Linked DNA regions of Arabidopsis thaliana. The protein of the gene in region 1 interacts with the protein of each later gene in a pairwise test. Each region holds a gene or a part of one and is shown in the gene's direction. Other genes may lie near its edges.

Region 1 (7,946 bases):
AATGACACAATAGAACCAACTCTAAATTCTAACCACTACTCTACTATACTTTGACGAGACCATTAACTTTTGATTGAGACAATTGATGTATTCAGATTTTGGTTTTATTTTTAGTCTCACTCTCAAAAATAAAATATCTAGTTTACCTTGATCTAATTCTAAGGTCTTAGCTATGTCCTTTTTAGCTTGATTCTATTTTTCCGAAGTTTTATGACAATTATGAGCTAATTCAGCGGAACTACAATTTTTCACAAACAGACGCTCATTTTATGAATGTGGTTAGAAAAGAATACTACTAGTATAGTAAGTTTTAGTCAATGAAAAAGTATAATTTCTCAAGAATAGTACTTTAGGGAGAGAGTAAGAGAGAGGAGTTGAAGAAAGTAGAAGAAGAATTGTGATTGGGAAACTGTGCGTGCGTCTTTGAAAAAGTGAATGGAAACATATATCATCATTCCTCTTTTCCTTACTTGTTTTTCCCAAATATTTTGCCTTATGCCCCTTTAATTTGTGTCCTCTTTTCCTCCTTGTCTTATTCCATTCCTTAAAAGAAAAATAATGTTTTCCTTCTACAACAAGTGGAAATCAATATTTAACATTTTGGTAATGTATTTAAACTATACGGTATAGTAATTGACATTGTTTGAAATAGAATTAGAAACATGAATGGATGGAACAACAAAACCTCTCAAGCGGAGTGGAGATTAAAATTTAAATATATAATCAAGCATCTAATTGTTTTTCATATTTATAGAGAATGATTAATATTCATTGAAAGGCCAAATTTGAAGAATTGAGATCCCTTTTTTAATTATCTACAACTTCGATTATGTTAAATGGTTACAAAGTGCATGAAGCCATGTAAGCCCACGAAATAGGCTGGGAGAGAGAAAGAGAGAGAGAGAGTACGTTCCAAGACAAAATGATTAAAAGGTCTTTGAGAAGTCATAAAGGATTAGCGTGGGAAATGAAGCTCAAGAGATTGAGCACTGGTTTTTTTTCATGAACAAAATTGGCTCCCTACTTTCTTTCTTTTACTATGCTCAATTATTCTGTTCTTTTCAGACTTTTAATTGACAATTTTTTTCTTAGAATACTCCTTACAATTAATACCAAGGTCGGTCAAACTTTAAACCCTATAATCTACTCAAAAACTATAAACATTATAATTAAAATTATTTGACAAGCTTTTCTCTACACATCTTCTTTTGTATTGTCAAGGAATTCGTACGTTACAATATAAAAATCGCAGCTTCTTTCTTACAAAAGAGTTCAAATTATATCTGAAATTATTGTGAACCGTGTTTTTGCCATTGCTGGTTTTGGTCATGACATTCTAATAGAGTCAGATAGAGAAAGTAGCATCCATCAAAATTTTCAAATACAGTATATATATATATATATACACACACATTTTTCTCATAAATAAAAACCTAAAAATATACACATAAATACGCACACGTGCATGTATATTTGAGTGTATACATGTCAATTTCCAATGTCGTATATTAGACTTCCATCTAAATAAACTACTAATAAAAATTTGGTAAAGAGGAATATTTAAGGTAAAAACAAGAATTATTAAAAACACAAAATTAACTTAGAGCTTTTATAATGAAATGAAAGTGCTAGGAAAGCAAAAGGGCTTTTTGATTGCAAGCTTGAGACTAAGGTCATGATGATACGGCCAGCCTTTCTTGAGTCTTTGGTCGGTCCGACAATCTGTGTGTTTTGTGTTCACTCTCTGTTTTTCTTTCATTTTTTTCTTATAGTTTATTTACTTATATTTCGGTTATAGTGTTTCTCAAGCTCTAGCTCATATATCCTATAACTATAAGGGGATGTGATTTAAAGCAAATTTTGGACCAATCACTATGAAATAAAATATTACTAATTTTGATATTTTATTTCCCTGATAGCTACACTCCTTAGTTGAGCTTTCCGTAAGTTGAAAGCAAAGACGACTTGCAGAGCAACTTTCCAAGTTGCAAACCACACATCCATCTATAGAGACATATCATATAAACAAATTTATTTAGGAAAAATCCTAGAAATTGTCAAGGTTTACTCATTAGATGATACTCTAAATTACACCCATAATATATTGGCTTGCTAAGTTGCAAACTATCCATACATTTATCCATATACATCGTAAGAATAATTTATATAGGAAGACCTAGAAGTTGTAAAATGTGTATGAATAAATTCCAAATGAAGACCTAGAGCTTGTAAAATATAAATTTTAAATCTAGATATATATATATATATAAAATCCATAATATAAACCTTTTGTAAATTATGTTATAAGTTATAACAATTGTAACTTTAAGACGAGTTTACTATTAGCACTTGACACTAGTATTTTGCAAGCATTTAATTTTATGTTAAATTTTGTTTATTTATAGGTGACAATATGGGTAATCCAGTCCAATTTGATCCATAATGTTTATGGGGTGAATGTTAACTAGGTGAACGAAGAACGTAAGCCATTTAGTAAATAGGTTGACCATATAAAATGTTCTAGTTTCTGGTATGAGGGGAGGTAAATGCCTATTAATCTATCTAATTTGATGGGTCGAAAATCAAAATGATAAAATAGTTCTACCCATAAAATATTTTTGTAATAATTTATCACATATTTTCATAATTAATAGTTATTACAATCGGTATCATATGTGATACGTTCATTGTCTTCACATCATCATCGCATTATCATTTTTATCATCATCATAACATAACGATCATCATTTCATACCATCTCCATTATCATCATAATTTTGAAATCACCTTTATGGCACAAAATTTTGGAATCGTGCTTTTGCAAAACAAAACAAAAATATAGTTTTCTCTGCAAAAATCATGTTTTTACGAAACATTGAATATAGCGGAAAATTGTGGATTTGTGTTTTTAGCAATAATTATTATGAAATACTTTTAGCTGGAAGTTGCGAAATTACATAATTCACGATTCATTGAAATTCAGTTTTTGACCAAAAAAAACAAATTGTGAAATTATATGATCATGATGATGATAATGGGGTATGATGGTGATGATATGATAATATTATGATATCATGAATATAATAAGAAACGAATATCATTTACTTTTTTTTTTAGTTTTTAACAAAATGTGGGTAAATATTGGTGAATCATAAATCTTTTACAATCTAACTCATTTAGCCCATTAATTCCTTATGGTCAGAACTCATTTGCCTTATCAATATAATAGGGTCATAATATTTAGTTATGAGGATTTGAATTCGGATGATGACATAAGGAAACATTAGTATCAATTATTAGATTACATGAATTTGGTTAATATTTGTTAATTAGTATCATGGTTTTATATCAACGAGAAAACAATTGACCAAAAAAAAAAGATAACCAAATCACTATCCTACACAATGTTATGTGCTCTCCCATAACTAGTTAGTGGTCTAATAGAAGACAAATAATCAATTTTTTGTTGATACCTACAAATTTGTAACGTATATTATGTGGTCTCTAATACCTAGTTTAGTGCTATAGCGTAGATTTTATTTATATAAATCAATTAAATCTGTATAGTGCCGACTCATATATTTTCGATGCTCTGAAACAAATTTAAAAGATATGTATTATGTGTCATTTTGTATATATAAATTCTTTTTGTGTCTTTTTATATATACAAATTATTTTTCTGTGTATGGATATTTGGCGATCGCATTGCTTGTCCATATACTTATTAGAAATAGAAATAGAAATAGACCGTGAAGTACTAAATGCGTAAATTAAAAGATAGATAATCTAAAGAATCTTAAACCCATTACCTTTTTTTTTTTACCTTTTTAATAATTCCACCACAACACAAAACACAAGTTGCAAACTCCACATATCCTGCAAACCATTGGTAACAAACAAACGCATGAGTTTCCTATATATGTCTGCGTCTACAACATTTGAAAGCAAACTTTTGTCTCTTTTTAACTCTCTTAACTTTCGTTTCTTCTCCTACCTTCTTTTACCAACCTTTCCTTTCTCTTACACACATATATATATACATATATAGAGAGAGAGAAGAGGACAAAGAGTTGAAAGATGAAGACTCTCATGTCTTCATAGAAACAAGTGATATGTGCGCTAAGAAAGAAGAAGAAGAAGAAGAAGAAGAAGACAGTTCTGAAGCCATGAACAACATACAAAATTACCAAAATGACCTCTTCTTTCACCAACTCATCTCTCATCATCACCATCATCATCATGATCCTTCTCAATCTGAAACTTTGGGAGCATCCGGTAACGTTGGATCTGGTTTCACTATCTTCTCTCAAGATTCCGTCTCTCCAATATGGTCTCTACCTCCACCTACCTCGATCCAACCACCATTTGATCAGTTTCCTCCTCCTTCTTCTTCTCCAGCATCTTTCTACGGAAGTTTCTTCAACAGAAGTCGAGCTCATCATCAGGGATTACAGTTTGGGTACGAGGGTTTTGGTGGAGCCACGTCAGCAGCACATCATCATCATGAACAACTTCGGATCTTGTCGGAAGCTTTAGGTCCGGTAGTACAAGCCGGGTCCGGTCCTTTTGGGTTACAAGCTGAGTTAGGGAAGATGACAGCACAAGAGATCATGGACGCTAAAGCTTTGGCTGCTTCAAAGAGTCATAGTGAAGCTGAGAGAAGAAGAAGAGAGAGAATCAATAATCATCTCGCTAAGCTCCGTAGCATATTACCCAACACCACCAAAGTAAGTCCAAAATTTTTATAACATAAATTTTCATACATAAGTAAAAACATTCATCAATCACACACCGTTTAAGTTTTTTGTAAATAAAAAATAATACTAAAACAATGTAGAGTTTAAGTGGAAAAACATAGTAGCTGCGACATGAAAGTTTATGTCACATTTTGTCTCTTTTTATTTTTTTACATTTAGGTTTTATAAAAGGAGAAGTAAGTTATTCAAAGGTTTTCTGTTTTGATCAATGATCTTGTGGGTATTTGTTAAAGTCCCGAGAGAGAATCAGTCAGAGACTGTAGTATAAATAAAAAAGCAAGGAATATGGAACGTCTATGTCGTCGTTTGGTTAATTGATGTAATAAAGAGAAACAACCGGCGCTGCTTAAAAAGCATAAAAAGTCTTATTGCCGGACCAAATCATAACTTCTACGACCACATAATTTTCTCCTCGAAACTATACAAATATGTTTTTTCTTCGTTTTTTTTAATGCAGACGGATAAAGCGTCGTTACTAGCTGAAGTGATCCAACATGTGAAAGAGTTGAAGAGAGAGACTTCAGTGATCTCAGAGACAAATCTTGTCCCAACGGAAAGCGATGAGTTAACGGTAGCTTTCACGGAGGAGGAAGAAACCGGAGATGGCAGATTTGTAATTAAAGCGTCGCTTTGCTGTGAAGACAGGTCGGATCTCTTGCCTGACATGATTAAAACATTGAAAGCTATGCGTCTCAAAACGCTCAAGGCGGAGATAACCACCGTTGGGGGACGAGTCAAGAACGTTTTGTTTGTTACCGGAGAAGAGAGCTCCGGTGAGGAAGTGGAGGAAGAGTACTGTATAGGGACGATTGAGGAAGCTTTGAAAGCGGTGATGGAGAAGAGCAATGTAGAGGAATCATCTTCTTCTGGAAATGCTAAGAGACAGAGAATGAGTAGTCACAACACTATCACTATCGTCGAACAACAACAACAATATAATCAGAGGTAATCAATTTTTTACTTAAATCGCTTTTTTTTTCTTACTTTCGGTGTATCTACTACGTGTGTTGTTTGCTGGTTATGGAAATGAATGTTGTACGTCACGTTATACTATAGATATATGTGTGTTTGTGTGTATGTATAACGGAAGTATTTGTATCCGTTGTGGTCTTGGACTTTTGGTTTGGTTCTAAGATACTTATTTTTAAAAACTTGTATCGTTGAGTTGGTTTTCTAGATATGCTTAATGGGAGTATGTGACGAAAAAAAAGTATGATTTCTGTAAGGCAATGCATGGGTTTGGAAAATTCGTTTTCTCTTGTCATGTGGGAGGATTTGAATTTAATTTTGGCTTATTTTTGCAATTGTGTGAATGAGACCAAAAAGAGACAATGAAGAAGAACAGGAAACGTACCAAAGATGATGTGTATCATTAATTGATTTAGTCGGGTTCTGTCCGGGGGAAAAACAAAAAGAGACAAATTTGGGATTCTGAGCTTCGTACGTTGATGCTTCTCTGACTCTTTTGCCTTGTGTATTTATGTGTTCTGTAGAATCTTTTTCGTGTAACGATTTACATATATTCAAATATTTTGCTTTATATAAATTTGCATCATGGACTGGTATGAGGTAAACATCGGGACCAAGACTAAGATATAAAGGACGTAGCCAATTAGTTTTTTAGGTTGGTCCATGAAATTTAACATGGTATTCTAACCAGAGTTTTATTTTGTAAGTGTGTTATGTTTTATGTGTTGCACATGAGCACGTCCTTGATCGAAGTATTTAAAATTTGTTATTAAAGAAATGTGTAAATTTATAGGGATGATAAGTGATTGTGATTGAGATTGGTCATGACGAGGAACATACGTAATTGACGTCGTATTTGTGTTAAGCTTGCATCATGAAGTGAAGTACGTCGACGTTATTAATAATTATGATCATTTAGTACTACTTACGTACTATTGTACCCTAACTGCCATTTCATTTGTCTTTTAACATTTTTACCTAAGTGACGGTCATGTGAATTGTCTAGTAGACTAGTACTGACTCCTCTTTTGGCTTTCTCTATAGACAACCTTGAATTTAATTTTAATTTATGTTAATTACGTCTTCATTATCAAACCAAAAACTTAGAAGATTTCTAAGTTTTGTGGAGACTTGCAATTAGGGCTCAGCTGGTCATGTTGTTAGAGCGACATAAAATGAGATGAATTTTATTAGTTTGTTGGATTCTACAAAGATATTGGACTACCTACCATTTGCATTGAAAAGAATATCCCAAAAGAGACTTTTGGTTTTACTTTAGGGATCTCTTTTTATTTTATTTTATTTTTTTATAAAGAAGAGAGTATTGGGAAATCTTTAAAGGCCCAAACCAAAGCTCAGCCATATTTCTACAGTTAAGCCCAGCCATTTTTTTACCAAAGAATGCTAATATCATTTTTCAGCAAGATTTTATTGAATCATTCAACTCTCTAATTATTGATTAGTCGCGGTATTAAAATTGTGCTTCCCCTTTTGGAAAAAAATAGAGTAACTGTTCAAATCCTTATCATCCTGATTCAGGATATTAAACCTTAAATATTGTTTGTCAAACTCAACTTCTATCAATCATTTTTTATATTGTTTTAATGTTAAACAACTGTCCATCTATCTTATCAACAAGAAGAAGAATTTCTAGCCAGACTTATAAACTTGCACGACAAGACATTCATCCTTTTTTAATTAATGAACAAGAGTAACGACTTTTACACTTCTCTTGTCACAAAATTATTGAACAGTATTTACAAGTATTTTATAAAAATTGCTATTGGTTGATATTTTTATTGGTGCATGTCAAGATATTTCTGGCAACAATCATTAGAACGCGACCATAACATGTGCTGCAATTTGACAATTCTTTATATCTAAAAAATGACAATTTGACCTCGTTGGAATCTTGGATTTGTTTCTCCCAAGCACAATATGTTCGAGCTATCGTACCATTTCTGAAAGTGTAATTATAAAGACTGCAATCATATATGGGCTCGTGGAGCTAAATCATGGCCTAAAGTTTTTTTTTAATCAAATGGATTTTGAACTTGTGGTAAAGTTTTCGGATCTACGAAAAATTATGCATTCTTAATCAAACCTCTAATTCGATAAGACAATTGTTTTCCAACAAAGAATGTGTCAAAACTCAAAAACTCTTAACAATTGTTTTGAATGTTTTCCAATAATACCACATCGGTTTATGTATCAATTAAT
Region 2 (9,507 bases), on another chromosome or scaffold:
CCACATGGGTGCGCAAACTCTATCTTTGTCCAGCCAATCATAGTACTATATATCTTTTGCTATTTTCTCTCTTTATTCTTTTTTTTTTTTTTGTAAAATTAGTACGTATTAAATTTTAAGATCTTCATTCAAAAATTGTTTTCCATGTTCAGTTAACGTGTCCAGAAAAACAATGGAGTTAAATCTAGATATAGTTAGAGTGTTGTTGTTCACACGTATAGATACTTATTTAATTATTGTTTATAGGTCTTATTCATGTTTTATTTTACGCATCTTAGAATCCTCATTTACTAAATTACTAAACATTTCACGGCAAGATGACTTGTTCAACTACATTATCAGTATCATATACTACTATTAAGTACCATTTTAATTATTTAATAATTTCCAAATGTGACCCTTGACTCTTAAGAGGGGGTTAAGGGACTCTTTGATTAGAAATATAAGTTAAATAAACACACACACGAGCATATACATAGTATAAAGTATAGTCCATTATGTTAACAGACAGGTGTCAAGCAATAAAGCTATTTATACAAAACTCTATTTCCATCCATTTCAATAATGAGCAGTGTAAAGATAATCATTCACACAAATCCTTACATTGATTGGAAGTTTCTCTCCTTTTTGTACCATTTTATGATTTATAATAGAACTCTAAAAGCCAAGTTATAAATGTTTAAACCCTAATTATCTTTCCCACTATCGACCTCTGTGGGTTTTATGTGTAGATGTACGTAAAAGCCTACTTATCATTCCTTTTCCGTAGCCACTTATAGGACATTTATAACCCATTTCTTAGATTTCGAACTATACAAAGATTTTCCGAGATTTTTGAATGATAATAATAATAACAAAACTCGTTGCTAAATAATGTGGTTTGAAGTAAATTTTTGGATATATAAGAAGATAAATCACGAAAAAACTCGTGGACATGTTGGCAACAGAAACGCATTTGGAGAAACTCGCAACGTCTCGTATTTATTTGAAACACACGTTCCACAAAAACATTACCATTAACTCTTGTATCATATATATACATATATATTGTCCTCTCTGTGTGTATAAAACATGTGTATATATATATATATATATATATTAATTATAGCTTGTGATATATACCTAGCTTAAATCAAAGCCAGGATTTGATAGTATAGACCTAAAAAATGTTGTTTACTGATCACTAATCCTCGATATGTAAAATAGTAAATTCAAGAATCAAGAATATCGAACACATGACCTAACAAACTAAAGCAAATTTAAGATGAAAGTTTTTTTCTGAACATATCATATTTTTTTTTTTTAAATGAACATATTCATTGCTTCTAGATTTTTGCTGTCAAATATGAGTAACTTTCTGTGACGTATGTTTTTATACAGAGGTGAAAACAGGGAATACGCCATCAAGAAGCAGGGAATCAGTAACCTACTATTTTAATAGAAGATTCATTACCTTGTTAATCACGAAATTACCTTCTTGCTCATGAATCACCAAGTCAATGTCAATGTTTTTAGAGAAAAAAACACACATACATAATCATCAAGTCAATGTTCTTGCAATAGTTATACCTTTAGTTTCCCCCAAAAAAATATTAGCCAATTAAATCAAACAAGAAAGAAGATATTACTTAAAAATCTCTACAAAACACATGACTACATGAGCGAGTGAATTCGATAAGGGCTTGAAGAAGTGGTATGCCGATTGACTATTGGGTTAAAAATAGATGAACAATTGAGATTCTTAGAATTAGTACCACTAAATTGACTAAAAATCAGTAAATGATTGAACTCATTTGAGACCAAACATGTGGGAGATATATATGGGAATGAATGCTTTCTAAGTGGACACGAAAATTCTATATTACAGTTGAGATTCGTTTGAACAAGCTCTGGGGAATATACGGGGGACAAGATACCAATTTATTACTAAAATAAATACGATTAAAATAGTCTAAATTGAGAAAGAGAAGATCCGGAGATGGTGGTGGTGGGTTTTAAGGCATCTTGCTTATTTATATCCTTAAAGGGAACAGAAATTGTCAAAAATACGTCATACGTGACGTTTTCTGTCATAATTAGTAATATACTAAACATAATTAATTAGAACTAAACGATAAAGTAATTAGTTAATTGGTATATAAATATATGGACTATGGAGTATAGGCTTTTTCATCTTTATATTTTGCTTATTATTTATTAAAAAGTTTGGCATTATTCATTGCCAAATGACTACAGCAAATATACGATTTTGATGCAGAAATTTAAATTTATTGATCATCTAAAGATCGCACTTAGTTTACTATACGAAAATCCATGCACTACACTACTAGTGATGGTACAAATGTTTAGGAAATAAAATTATTATGTTAAATTTTGTATTGAAATAAATATTTGGGAGTTATAATCTTATCATATAAAAAAACTAAAATAAATAACTAACCCAACATATATGTATATCTACATTATAAGGATTTGAATTTATATGGTAAACATAACTATACTAACAAAAATTATTATATTACATATCTTGGTTAAATTAGTAAAATAGATTTATTTAGTGTTTTTCGTTTGTCGCTTGTCATACTTTTTGAGTTCCTTCAATTTGAGTATCATAAGATTTTTAGGAAACTTAATCTTGATGTTATAAGTGATATTAATCGCTTATTTATAACATCTACTTATTTATCCATCATCGATCATTTTTTAACGGTTCAAAAGATTTCACGTATATTAATGTTCAAAATTCTAAAAAAAAAACATTTAATCAAAACATTTTTTTCTAAGTATTTAAGTAATTTTTCCGGATAATATTTGTTTGGCAACGATCAACATATATCATGACTCAAATAAATTTTGATGTTTCTAATTAGTAAAATGTGGAGTTGGAAAAAAGTTCTTGCAAAAGGTGAAAAGAACAAAAATCAGAGATGGAAACACTTCCCACATGCTTATGTTAGTCCCACCATTTAGTGGTAGAAATGTAATTTATCCAAAGAAGGAGGTCAAAGCTGCTTCGTCTCTAATCCAAGTCTAGCCAGTATTGTTGCCTGCATAAGAGCAAACGGTAAAAGTGACGGACTCTTAACGATGACGGGTGTTACTGTTTAATGTCTCTTGATCGACTTTTGTTACCGTAACGACAACGGCACGCGCCCTCACGCTCCGTACCAGCCTTAAAAGCCAACACATTTATGATTTATCCAGTAACTAATACTAATTCCTTCATCCACTAACGCAATTGCATTTAATTGTTTAGTACGTATAGAAAAAAAGTAAAAAGCTATTTATAATTATAACTTACAAAGTCTCTTTCAATTAGTACAGTGTAAAACAACCAATTATTTTCTATATTATACAGTATAAAGGTGTTTATCATAGACCCATTATTTATTTGTTTTTGACTAAAATATCAAAGTGTATTAAAACATAAACCAAATAAATTTGAAATTAAAGTTTTTTTTTTTTTTGTAAAATTAAAACTGATTTTTGGTTTAAATAGAGAAGCAAAGCTACGCTTTTTTTTTTGCTAGCTCTTTTTTTATTTAATCAAACAAAAATTGAGGAAAACAATTATTGTTGTGCTAAGCATTTCTATCATATATTTTTTTATAAACAATACATTTAATTTCAAAATAACTTTCTACTTTCTTCAAATCAAGCTATTTCCTAGAAATTTGGTACTGTCTGGATAACAACATGTCTTAGAAAGTATAGTAAGGAATTTACAATTGGTTATACAATTAATGTATAGCGTATTATTATATACGAAAAGGTGTCCAATTTTAGACATACATATAAAATCAATTTATTAAAAATAAAAGTATTGAAAAAAGAGAGAGTGAAACGGAGATAAAAGCAAACGGAGGTGTTAACTTAAAGACGGGAGAGAAGCGAGTGAGAGATTCTTTCTTGTAACGGCGTTGTTTGACGATTATAGTGACGAAGAGAGACAAAAAAAAAGAGTTTAGTCTTCTTTGTTTGGGAGACGAAGACGATAGAAGCTGGTTTTACGGGAGAGAAATTAGAGAGGTTACAGTTACAGAGCAGGAAGGATTGCGTTGCGTTACGATTCAGATCTCTCTCGATCGTTACTTACATGCATTAGAGAACAAGAAAACGTGGAGACGGAATCCAAGGGACCTTCTTCTTCAATTTAATTCCTCACTTTATTACGCACCCTTCTTTTATTTTCGACTGTTTCAGCTTCCGGTTCTTCATCGGAGAGAGATAGAGAGACTGTGTGTTTTGGTGTGACTGATAGAAGATTTAATCAGCTGATGGCAAATCGCGGAGGTGAGAAATTGACCGGAGTTTTGTTTTTTTCTTCAATTTTCCGGCGACATTACCGGCGAAATTAACCGGTGTACATTGTGTGGTGAAACAGGTGAATATCTGTACGATGAGTTATGGAAATTATGCGCGGGACCTCTTGTTGATGTTCCTCAAGCTCAAGAAAGAGTTTATTATTTTCCTCAAGGTCACATGGAACAAGTAAGCAGCTTCTCTTTTAGATCGGTGAAATTTTGAGAAAGATTTTTTTTAATGAAACATTTCTATTTTTGGTGGTTCAGCTCGAAGCGTCAACGCAACAAGTCGACTTAAATACGATGAAGCCTCTTTTTGTTCTTCCTCCTAAGATTCTCTGCAATGTTATGAACGTTAGTCTTCAGGTATACTTTCCACATTTAGCAAAACCGAATTTATCTGATGATGTGTCGTCCATTAGTTAAAGCAATATATATAGATGGATATTGTAGAAAATCTATGAAGAAGCTGGAAATGATTAGACTAAATATGAGTGGAAGTTCTGGATCTTGTTTGATTTCTTCATTTCTGTTCTTGTCAGGCGGAGAAAGATACGGATGAGGTCTATGCTCAGATTACTTTGATCCCTGTTGGAACTGTGAGTGACACAATTAGATCACTTGATTGTTTTTGTTGTTGCAACTTCCTTAAATTCAATGTTTAGTGGATCTCTAAATGTAAACTGTAGGAAGTTGATGAACCTATGAGTCCTGATCCCTCTCCTCCTGAGTTGCAAAGGCCGAAAGTTCACTCTTTCAGCAAGGTTTTGACAGCGTCTGATACAAGCACCCATGGTGGCTTTTCTGTTCTAAGGAAACATGCCACGGAATGTCTTCCTCCGCTGGTATTAGGACACGCTTACTATTTGTGCTTTGTTTCCCACCAAAATGGCCTTTGATATGAATTTCTTATGTTCTTATCCTTTAGGATATGACTCAGCAAACCCCGACCCAGGAGTTAGTAGCCGAAGATGTGCACGGTTATCAGTGGAAATTCAAGCATATTTTTAGAGGTGGTGAATCCATTTCTTGTTAACTCAGATCAAACTTTATGTATCCATGATAATTGTATAAAATGAATGATAATTCATTAAACAGGCCAACCACGGAGGCATCTATTGACGACAGGGTGGAGCACCTTTGTTACATCAAAGAGATTGGTTGCTGGGGACACCTTTGTATTCCTGAGGTATTATACTTCACGCTGCTACCTTGTTTTGTTTCTTTTGATGGTCCATTGGTAGATTTTGAACTTCCAAGCTATATTATATTTTCCAGAGGGGAGAACGGAGAGTTGCGAGTTGGAGTCAGACGTGCTAATCTTCAACAGAGCAGTATGCCTTCATCCGTTATATCAAGTCATAGTATGCATCTGGGAGTGCTTGCTACTGCACGCCATGCTACTCAAACGAAAACTATGTTCATTGTATACTATAAACCAAGGTAGACAGTTATTACTCTATGGGAATATCTGAGGTGAGTTTTTTCGACATTCTGCTTATCGAATTACTCTCGGTTTGAGCAGGACAAGCCAATTCATCATTAGCTTGAACAAATATCTAGAAGCCATGAGCAATAAGTTCTCTGTAGGGATGAGATTTAAGATGCGTTTTGAGGGAGAGGATTCCCCTGAAAGAAGGTAGTCTGAATTTTTTCTTTGTTATGTATCCTGCACTTTGTCCCCAAAGCTATTCTCACACATCTATTTCTTTACAAAGATATTCTGGCACGGTTATTGGTGTGAAAGACTGCTCCCCTCACTGGAAAGACTCAAAATGGCGATGCTTAGAAGTAAAATTCCTTCCACTTTTACATGTTTTTTAAAGTGTTTATTAAGTGTGAAAACTCAATCAGTTTGCTACATGTTTGTGTAGGTTCATTGGGATGAGCCTGCATCGATTTCAAGACCCAATAAGGTTTCACCATGGGAAATTGAACCGTTTGTAAATTCAGAAAACGTTCCCAAATCAGTTATGCTGAAGAACAAAAGGCCCCGTCAAGTTAGTGAAGTATCTGCACTTGGTGAGGCACAATCTAACCGCCACTGATTTGCTAGTACATAGCTTAAGTTTCCTTGCTAAATCTCACATGCTGTGTTTAGATGTAGGCATAACAGCTTCAAACCTTTGGAGCTCTGTTTTGACGCAACCCCATGAGTTTGCACAATCGTGCATCACCTCACAGTGGAGTTCTCCTCAGCAATGTCATCGTGATGCAAATGAGGATGCTAAGAAATCTGACTGGCTAAATAACTCTTACTCTGTGTCAAATGTAGCAAAAGACTCAACACTGAACGACCAAATGGTTTCCCCAGTCGAGCAGAAGAAGCCTGAGACAACCGCTAATTATAGATTATTTGGAATTGATCTGATGAGTTCCTCCCTAGCGGTTCCTGAGGAGAAAACTGCACCCATGCGACCAATCAACATATCCAAACCGACTATGGACAGCCACTCAGACCCAAAATCAGAGATTTCAAAAGTATCAGAAGAGAAAAAGCAGGAACCTGCGGAGGGATCACCAAAAGAGGTCCAAAGCAAGCAAAGCAGTTCTACAAGAAGCCGTACCAAGGTATATATATGCCTACATGGCTACCGTGAAGTGTATATACATTGTGTAATCTGTGAGTTGCAAAACAGATACACATTATGTATAATGTTTGCGGGACTGAACAGGATCCTGAATTCTTTATCGCTGAACAGGTGCAGATGCAAGGCGTACCTGTGGGCAGGGCTGTGGATTTAAATGCGCTAAAGGGGTACAACGAGCTCATAGATGACATTGAGAAGCTGTTTGACATAAAAGGGGAACTGCGGAGTCGCAATCAATGGGAAATAGTGTTCACAGACGATGAGGGAGATATGATGCTTGTCGGTGATGACCCATGGCCGTAAGTAACTTACTCTTTATCTCTTAGTCAATAGAATCACTACACAAAACTCATATCTGTTGACTTAATTTGGTGGTGCAGTGAGTTCTGCAACATGGTGAAGAGAATATTCATATGGTCGAAAGAGGAAGTGAAGAAAATGACGCCTGGGAACCAACTCCGGATGCTGTTAAGGGAAGTTGAAACAACACTAACAACAACTTCCAAAACAGATAATCATTCCAACTAATTTTTATTCTATTCTCTATCAGTCTTCGTCTCCTTCTTATTTGCTTTGTCTTTCGGAATTATCTTGTTTGTGTCTGTGTTTTGTTGCGCATGGCTTAAACAAGAAACTACATCCCCTGAGGCAAAAAAAATGGCTCGTTTTTTTGGAGCCTCTTATGGAGAAAGGGGGTTTATGGGGAGAGGGTTTTCTACTTTTAAAATAGGCTTTTGGAAGTTTCTTTTTCTTCTAGGAACTTGTGTGTAAGAGAAACAAATATGTAACGAACAGAAAGAAAAAAAAAAAAAAAAAAAAAAAAAGAGAATGAGATTTGTGAATAACTTGATGAAGGACTTTTGGGACTCTGGGATTATAAGAGATTAAAGAGGGATTATACCTCATGGCTCTCGTGTTTTCTGATTCTTTTTCGTAGTTGTGTTTTCTTTGATTTTGTTTTTCATCTAAGTTTTAATGTATATATAAAATTTCAAACATGGCTTTCTTGTATTTGTCAAATCCCCAAAGGTACATATATTATCAATATTTAAAATGTTAAATAAACAAAACTCTAGACCTAAAACTATTTCAGGTTTTCCCACTAACCTTAACAATGATTCAAGATTATTGATGTTTTGTCTGTGAGGACATGTATGTGGCCGCTCTTGCCACCATATTCACAAACGTAATTGTATGAAGTATGGACCACCTTTTCGCTACTACTTCTGGATCCCCTTATGTTTGTAAAGTGTATCATTCCCTTATATCACTATTCACTCACATGCATTAAAATATCGAATGCTGCAAAGGAAAAAAGAGTTATTTTTCTCTTTAGATATCATTTGGGTTATGCATATTACTTGGATTAGTCCAATATGTCGTGTACAACCATTCTCGCTGCAAAACAACTACAATATGTCAACATAGTATAACACATGCTGATCTGGTGAGATTATAAATTGTGAAGTTTGTCTTTATAATATGTACATATAGTATTTCTTTGATTATGACAAGTGTGTAGAAAATGTTAGGATATTATTCTAAATCCCACATACGAAAGATTAGATAATGATTATCCAACATATAAGTTCAATCTAATTTTAATTAGTGTATCATTTGGGGAAAAAAAATCGTGCATATCTGGTTGCTTGGTCCAAATATCTATATTTTCTGACGGTCCAATATTTATATACGTACCACATAAATACACCTATACGAATCTCTTTACTAATACGTCGATACCGTTCATAGTTAATGACGTTATTTACTGCCGAGATAATGAAGTGATGATGTAGGTTATTTATTGCCGAGATTTGTGAAGGCAGTGGATCTCACAATCCCTATCTTTTCCTCTTCTTTTTTTTCTTTTTTTCTTTCCATATATAGAGAAGTTTAAATTTAATTGTACCATTAAAAGCTCACCAAATACCAACTTATACATACAGTCAGTATCTATATCAGGAATTTATATGTATGTGTGTATACCGAATAATAGTAAACTCATTTTACTAATAAATAACTTTGTTTTATTATATATTTGATAAACAACTTGTTATAAATTATTTTAATATGTTAAATTTGAACTTATTAAATTTTAAGTAATATTCTAGTGACGGAAGTATACATTGTATTTAAATTGCATAGATGTAATTACTTATTTTAAAAACTTATAGCACTATTCAGTGATTTACTTTTCCAACCTAAAATCGAGGTGTAGAATGTCTACTCTGGAAAAAAAAATCGCCTATAAAATATCAATATCAATGGTGAGTTTTGTTCTATGTACCAAGTTTCTCTAAAACAATTTGTCTTTCTATTAAAAATAAAGAGTACCACGATGGAGCCTCACAGAAAACACTCGGTCGGCGACACAACCCTCCACACGTGTCATCCTTGCCGGCGCACCATTCCATATAGAATCTACGCCGTATTTCACACGTGTGGCATCATAGCCCTCATGTATCACCATGTACACTCACTTCTCACAGCAAACACAACTCTAATCACGTCTCTCCTTCTCCTCTCCGATATTGTTCTCGCCTTCATGTGGGCAACCACAACTTCCCTCCGGTATAAACCGGTTCGCCGGACCGAGTACCCTGAGAAATATG
Region 3 (6,472 bases), on another chromosome or scaffold:
TAAACCATCATCTGAAAAGATGCTCTCATAATACACACACACATATATGTATAGGAATATTCATAAATGGTGGTCCATTTAAAAGAAACAAGACCCATATCAGTTTCAGACAATAATGATAATCACAAACCCACCAAAAGCTATAATAATACACATTTCACATTTGTATGTATGTTTATCCTTTTACATTGACTTATATACGGTTGAAATCGAGCCCATTCTCTTCATATGTTGTTGTCACCACCTATAAATTTCTCTTACTCATTCAATCATGTTTTTTTCTTTCTTAATGCTTATTTTCAACTCTCTCCCTTTCATGGTAAATTTTTTTCATATACTTTTTATCAGACTCTCTGACACGTTCTAAAATTAACGACTATGTATAAATGTCAAACAATGACTCATGTAACTAAACAATTTCTTGTATCGAATTTAGAAATATAGGGTCTGTTGATGCCGGTTTGTAGAACATTGGTGGTTAGTTTTGAACTCCTTTGTTTGTTCATATACATAGTTTTGTGTTTTTTATATCCACTAAATCTATTAGAAAGCTATACCTCTTGCCTCTTGGTAAAAAAATAGAGTAGGTTAAACGCAAACTTGTTTTTTCACTACTAGTAAAAAATTTCATCTACTTGTAATGCATAATGTAGATCATCCAAAAAAAAAAAAACTAATAATAGTAATGAAGATCATCACACCGTGAGATATTAATTGATCTTATCATTATTGTATATAAAAGAATTAATCATGAGTTTGGTCATGAGTTCGATGAAGTGATGGAGAGTTAAGAGTAGATTGTTTAAAACTGAAAGAGACCGGTGAGCTCTTCATGTTGTTTTTAACTCCACTTGCATTTGTTCTATAGCTTTTAATTTTGGGGTTCCTCTCATTCTTATTTTCTGTTTTCTTCTACTTAAAATAAAATATCTTTCACCATTTATTTTCTATATTACTTTGAAGTTCGGTCCTTGTATATAGCTGAACATTGTGAGGTCACATATAACGAAAAGGACAAGATATGCTTGTCCCTCAAAATCTAGACTCTTTTTTCTCATCTTTCATATTTATTATCTTTATTATTTATTACTGGCCCAAACATTTCATCATATTTCTTTTCAGAAAAATAAACAAGGAGGGAATTTGCATACATATGTGTATATAAGAGTGGAGGAGTTGAATCCAAGAAATGGATGTGAGGGCAAGAAAGTGAGAGATATGGTCCCCTCAACAAAAGCCATTAAATCTCTGAGCATATGACTGTGACTTTAATGGCAAAGCAAAGAGGTTTGCAATTGCATGATTCAATGAAGAGTTGCTGTTAGGGTTTGGGAGATTTGTGGGCTTTTAAGTGCATGTTTTTTTGTGGGGTTCAAGTGCCATTCATGGGACCCAATTACATTTTTTTTAGATTTGTTTTACTTTTCTTTGTAACCATGTTTTTAGATATGCATTTACAATATGTTTTTTTTTTCTTCCCTTTTTTATGAGATTTAAAAGTATTATATTATGACACAAGTATGTTACACTGGTTAGGACTTAGCTTTAGACAAAAAAAAATCAGAGTCCGAGATTTTATATAGATTTCGTCTTTTTAATCAAAAAAGTTCTGATATATAACCTAAAAAGACTACGTAGTATGATCTAAGAGATTTGACAAAATTTGGTTGTAGAAAGTCCGATATTAAGCATTCTCATCAATTTCCCTTAAATATTTTTCTAAAATATTAGAGGAATACAAAAAAACATTCTCATTAACTATATAATTTTAATAACAGTTAAAACTTTCATATTTGCATGCCAAGGCTCTCTGATGAGTTTAAATGTTAAATCGCATGTGTAGGTTTAAACAGAGTTTATTGTTTGTGGAAAAATAAAAGAGACGTGGACTCGTCATGTGAAGTCCAAAATCTGCAAAATTATGTATGTAAATTAATGTACTTTGGGACCAGCATTCGTATGGACATTATTACCATAGTTGAATTTACTTCCCTTTCTTACAATAAGCTTTTGATTACTCATATATACCTCACACATGTTATGTGAATCGGTAAATTCATACTATATGTGAGGAAGTCACTTACAACAGTTGGATTTTAAAGGGAATCCGTCTGAAAAAAATTTGGAGAAAAAAAGAAATTGTTTTGCTTACATAATTTAATTTAAAAATTATAAATAACAATACTTTTATAAGAGAATAGTTTATCTGTTGACCAAAAAAAAAGGAATAGTTTATCTATCCACAAATGGATGATCCATATTGGAGTATATAGAACGATAAGAGATGATTCGATACGTACTAAATGAAAACTTTGAATACTGTGTATAGTAAGCAATCAGCATTAGTTTACAAGATCTTAGTTTTCGTAGGATTAGTTTAGACTGTTTAGTAATTTGATTCCAACCATTGTACAGGAGAAAATTTTTACCGCTCAAAACAACTAACTGAACGTCATACTTAATTGGGAATTTGGGAGTCGTCAAAGAAATGAAAAAGGTCAGATTAATTTATGGATTAATGAGTTTTATAGTCCTTATTCCAGCTTGACATTAGCAACATATACATTATTTGTGTGACATAATCAGGGAATATATATAATCAAAATTAATGGGATTTAAAATTTAATTATTCTTACAAAATATCAAAAAATTTAGTGTAGACGAACAAAAAGAGAATACATATATATATATAGTTCATTTGAAGAAGACGTGTATATGATCGATCCGAGTTGATAAGTATTAACAGATTACATACATATTGATAAGATGATGTGATCTCATCGATTAAGGTTCAATCTTTTAAATTGGTTAACTATCTGGTGATGACATGTCAACTAGTCGATTATGAGCATCATTAATGATCATGAACATGGACCACCTCTCTCTCTCTGTAAGATTATCTTTGCATCAAAGAGACAAAACATCCAAGAGACTAAAAGTATGGTCCTTGAGAGAGAAGAAGTCTCTTTAATTAGGTCTTTCTATTTCTCTCTCTCTCTATTAGTAGTAAAATCCATGTACTTATACGTAGACATAATAACCAAATAGGTCCGTGATGTTAAAGAGTACACACCTAACTTCACCTTGCTAATGATCTCTTACCTACAAACTCTCACTGTTTTTAGTTCATCTCATTACTCACTGTGACCCCATTTCATCTGCTTACGACCAATTTGGTAAGCTTTTTGTCTTAGTTTCAACATTTGCAGGAATCACTTTAAGAAACAACTAACTAAAAAGGAGATAACTTTGAAAAAGGAGGATTGATGGGTTTGTTTTTGATGAGATGGATATTTGTATATGTATGTCTAATGAGAGATATATTGCGTAGGGGAAGTGAATGTAGATTAGAGGTCTCCCTATATATTGATTGATTTTATCCGGCTATTTTTACCTACCGCGACACACGGTATAGATTCATAGTAAGCTACAATTTAAACACAAGATAAATCTGTAATCATATAGTATAGTACTATGCTTCCATATATACCCCATATTTACGTCTCCTATGCTTCCATACGCTAATTAGTTTTTTTTTTTTTCCAACCATAATTGCAGGTTTATATAAACATGAACTAACGAAAAAAATAAAATATAAACATGCACCATGGAGTCAATTTTAAAATTCTATGAGGTTTGATTTTCAAAAGGAAAAATCTAATATACTAATGAAAAAATTGAGATCATAAAAAAACTAATGAAGAAGTAGATTTATTTATTTTGAAAAATATGTACAAGTGAAATGTGGATCATTCTTTAGCTATATATATATAGGTGGATAAACGTAAAATCACGCACGCGGCCATGCTGCAGGGGTTAAATAGCAATTATGTATTTACCTTAAAAAGAATTTGGGAACCTCTCTTTAAATTAATGCAAAACCTCATCTCTTGTCTTTCTGTCTCTGAAACAGTCAACCTCATTCTTCTCAAACTCACTCTCCCTGATCTCTCTCTTCCATGGACGAAACCAACGGACGAAGAGAAACTCACGATTTCATGAACGTCAACGTTGAATCCTTCTCTCAGCTTCCTTTCATCCGCCGTACTCCTCCCAAAGAAAAAGCCGCCATTATTCGTCTCTTCGGCCAAGAGCTCGTCGGTGATAACTCCGACAACTTATCCGCAGAACCTTCTGATCATCAAACCACTACCAAGAACGATGAGAGCTCTGAGAATATCAAGGACAAAGACAAAGAAAAAGATAAGGACAAAGACAAAGATAACAACAACAACAGGAGATTCGAGTGTCACTACTGCTTCAGAAACTTCCCAACTTCTCAAGCCCTAGGTGGACATCAAAACGCTCACAAACGTGAACGTCAACACGCCAAACGCGGTTCCATGACATCATACCTTCATCATCATCAGCCTCATGACCCTCACCACATCTACGGCTTCCTCAACAACCACCACCACCGTCACTATCCGTCTTGGACGACGGAAGCTAGATCATACTACGGCGGAGGGGGACATCAAACGCCGTCGTACTACTCAAGGAATACTCTTGCTCCTCCTTCTTCTAACCCACCGACAATCAACGGAAGTCCTTTAGGTTTGTGGCGTGTACCGCCTTCCACGTCAACAAATACTATTCAAGGCGTTTACTCATCTTCACCAGCTTCAGCGTTTAGGTCGCATGAGCAAGAGACTAATAAGGAGCCTAATAACTGGCCGTACAGATTGATGAAACCCAATGTGCAAGATCATGTGAGTCTCGATCTTCATCTCTGACTTCTTTTATTTTATTTTTTTATCATCCATCATTGCTGTGATATATGAGACTCGCTGATCGGTGAAGCCAATTCTTTTGAGAGTGTTGGAGACTGAAAAAAAGAAAAAGAAAACGAGAACCGGTTTGGTGTGTAGATCATCTTGAACCTTTTTGAGGTTTTCACATTCTGAGTTTATATTAATAAAGGGAATAATATTTTGGTTAATTAGTAAAATTCGTTCATCCGTTTAATTTCCTCTCACGTGTGTGTGAATGTGAATGATATAATTATCGTTTTTTTTGTTTGATTTCATCTGTTCATTTGTGAGTTCTGTTATGGCTTCCTTCAAGACTCTCTATAACTTTCAGAGAAAGAGGAACATTAATTTAAGGGCCATGGAAGTCACACGTACTTTCTCTCTGTTGTTGCAGTCGAGATATTTAAAGTCTTAACCATTAAAAACCCCAGAAGACTCTTTAGATACAAAATGCTTAGGGTCTCTGTCTAATTAAAACGGTCTTTTACCGAATCAAGAGGCAACGAAGGATGGGTAAATGCAGATGTTGATGATGATTCGGTGACTGTGGGGATCACTGAAGACAATGGACAAGACAAAAGGGGAGAGAGAGAGAGAGAGTTGAGAAGTGAAAGTGGTCCATGATTACAAGTGTAGAGTTAGCCAAAGATAGAGCTTTCACATCTTTCTCAACACACAGAACCTAAAGCTAAAGCCTTTCCTCAAAAGCTTTCTTCTTTAGTTTCTTTTCTAACCTTTTTTTGGGCAGTTCAAAGAGAATCATCAACTACAAGCTGTCTACCATATTTCCTTGTTCATCTCTCTCTCTCTCTCCCCATATACCACAATGCTCAAAATATAATAAGAAAATAAAAATACTGGTTACAAGCCACGGCACATGACCATGTTTCTTCTTATTGCCTCCAGTGAACAGACTTTGAATGAAGTCCATATGCCCCAAGGCCTACAAGAATCACAATCGTATATCTCAGAAGAAGCAATGATATCAATCCTCGTACCTAACATATGACCTTCAATGTCTTAACACTAACCAAACATTAAAGACAACCATATTTATATAGCTACGACTTTCGGCATAGACCAAGATATTCAAATGCTTGACTTTTCCAGTTTTGGCAAGACTTCAATCACATATATATGTGGCATTGCCTCACACTACAAATATACTACAATAAGAACTCAAGATGGTTACAGATATATAAAGCCTATTTGCTTTAGAATTACCAGCTGTGATACTAACCAATATATAAAAGTTAAACGACAGCTAATCTTACTCTATCAAGTCTATAATTCCAAAAGAACAACTTTGGATACTCTTGAGGTAAAAGTATGCAGGTTATAAGTACTGAGATTGAACAGAAGGAATACTTTTCCTTCTCTAGTTATATATGTCGTGAAACGTTGTAGCATGATTGCTAATGTGTACCTAATCAACTAACATTATGCAAGGAGTACGTCTTAATATTATCCTAAAGCTTTCAAACAAATCTCAGCACATTATTGTGATAACAGGTTGCAGAAAGTGACATTGCAAAACTTCTGACCTTAAGTCTTTAGTCGCGGAACAGGACAGTCGCTGTCTATATTACGGGGAAGGACCAAACGGTGCAAACTCAGCCTGTCAATCAAAAGGATGAGAGATAAGGTTTTCTAGACAAGTCTTATGCAACAAACTATTGCAATAAGGATGCATATCAAAATCACATGGGAACAAAAAACCA

What was found. Proteins that work in one complex are often made in the same cells at the same time.
Region 2: the proteins of AT1G68810 (region 1) and ARF9 interact in a two-hybrid assay, tested with the Arabidopsis thaliana proteins (one large-scale study listed by BioGRID).
Region 3: the proteins of AT1G68810 (region 1) and ZFP8 interact in a two-hybrid assay, tested with the Arabidopsis thaliana proteins (one large-scale study listed by BioGRID).

The regions. Positions count from the first base shown.
Region 1 is NC_003070.9:25,857,177-25,865,122, forward strand, and holds AT1G68810 (basic helix-loop-helix (bHLH) DNA-binding superfamily protein), read left to right. Parts: upstream 1-3,917; 5' UTR 3,918-4,112; coding exon 4,113-4,727; intron 4,728-5,214; coding exon 5,215-5,706; 3' UTR 5,707-6,358; downstream 6,359-7,946.
Region 2 is NC_003075.7:12,447,315-12,456,821, forward strand, and holds ARF9 (auxin response factor 9), read left to right. Parts: upstream 1-3,828; 5' UTR 3,829-4,277; coding exon 4,278-4,293; intron 4,294-4,384; coding exon 4,385-4,491; intron 4,492-4,571; coding exon 4,572-4,670; intron 4,671-4,846; coding exon 4,847-4,903; intron 4,904-4,993; coding exon 4,994-5,149; intron 5,150-5,232; coding exon 5,233-5,317; intron 5,318-5,402; coding exon 5,403-5,493; intron 5,494-5,582; coding exon 5,583-5,747; intron 5,748-5,829; coding exon 5,830-5,943; intron 5,944-6,022; coding exon 6,023-6,095; intron 6,096-6,178; coding exon 6,179-6,326; intron 6,327-6,405; coding exon 6,406-6,875; intron 6,876-7,006; coding exon 7,007-7,194; intron 7,195-7,275; coding exon 7,276-7,423; 3' UTR 7,424-8,055; downstream 8,056-9,507. Other genes in the region: CSLG3 (cellulose synthase like G3), read left to right, coding at 9,177-9,507.
Region 3 is NC_003071.7:17,503,597-17,510,068, forward strand, and holds ZFP8 (zinc finger protein 8), read left to right. Parts: upstream 1-3,746; 5' UTR 3,747-3,959; coding exon 3,960-4,733; 3' UTR 4,734-5,020; downstream 5,021-6,472. Other genes in the region: AT2G41945 (uncharacterized protein), read right to left, coding at 6,337-6,369. UniProt on the Arabidopsis thaliana protein: Probable transcription factor required for the initiation of inflorescence trichomes in response to gibberellin and cytokinin. Is not involved in the regulation of trichome branching. Is functionally equivalent to GIS2.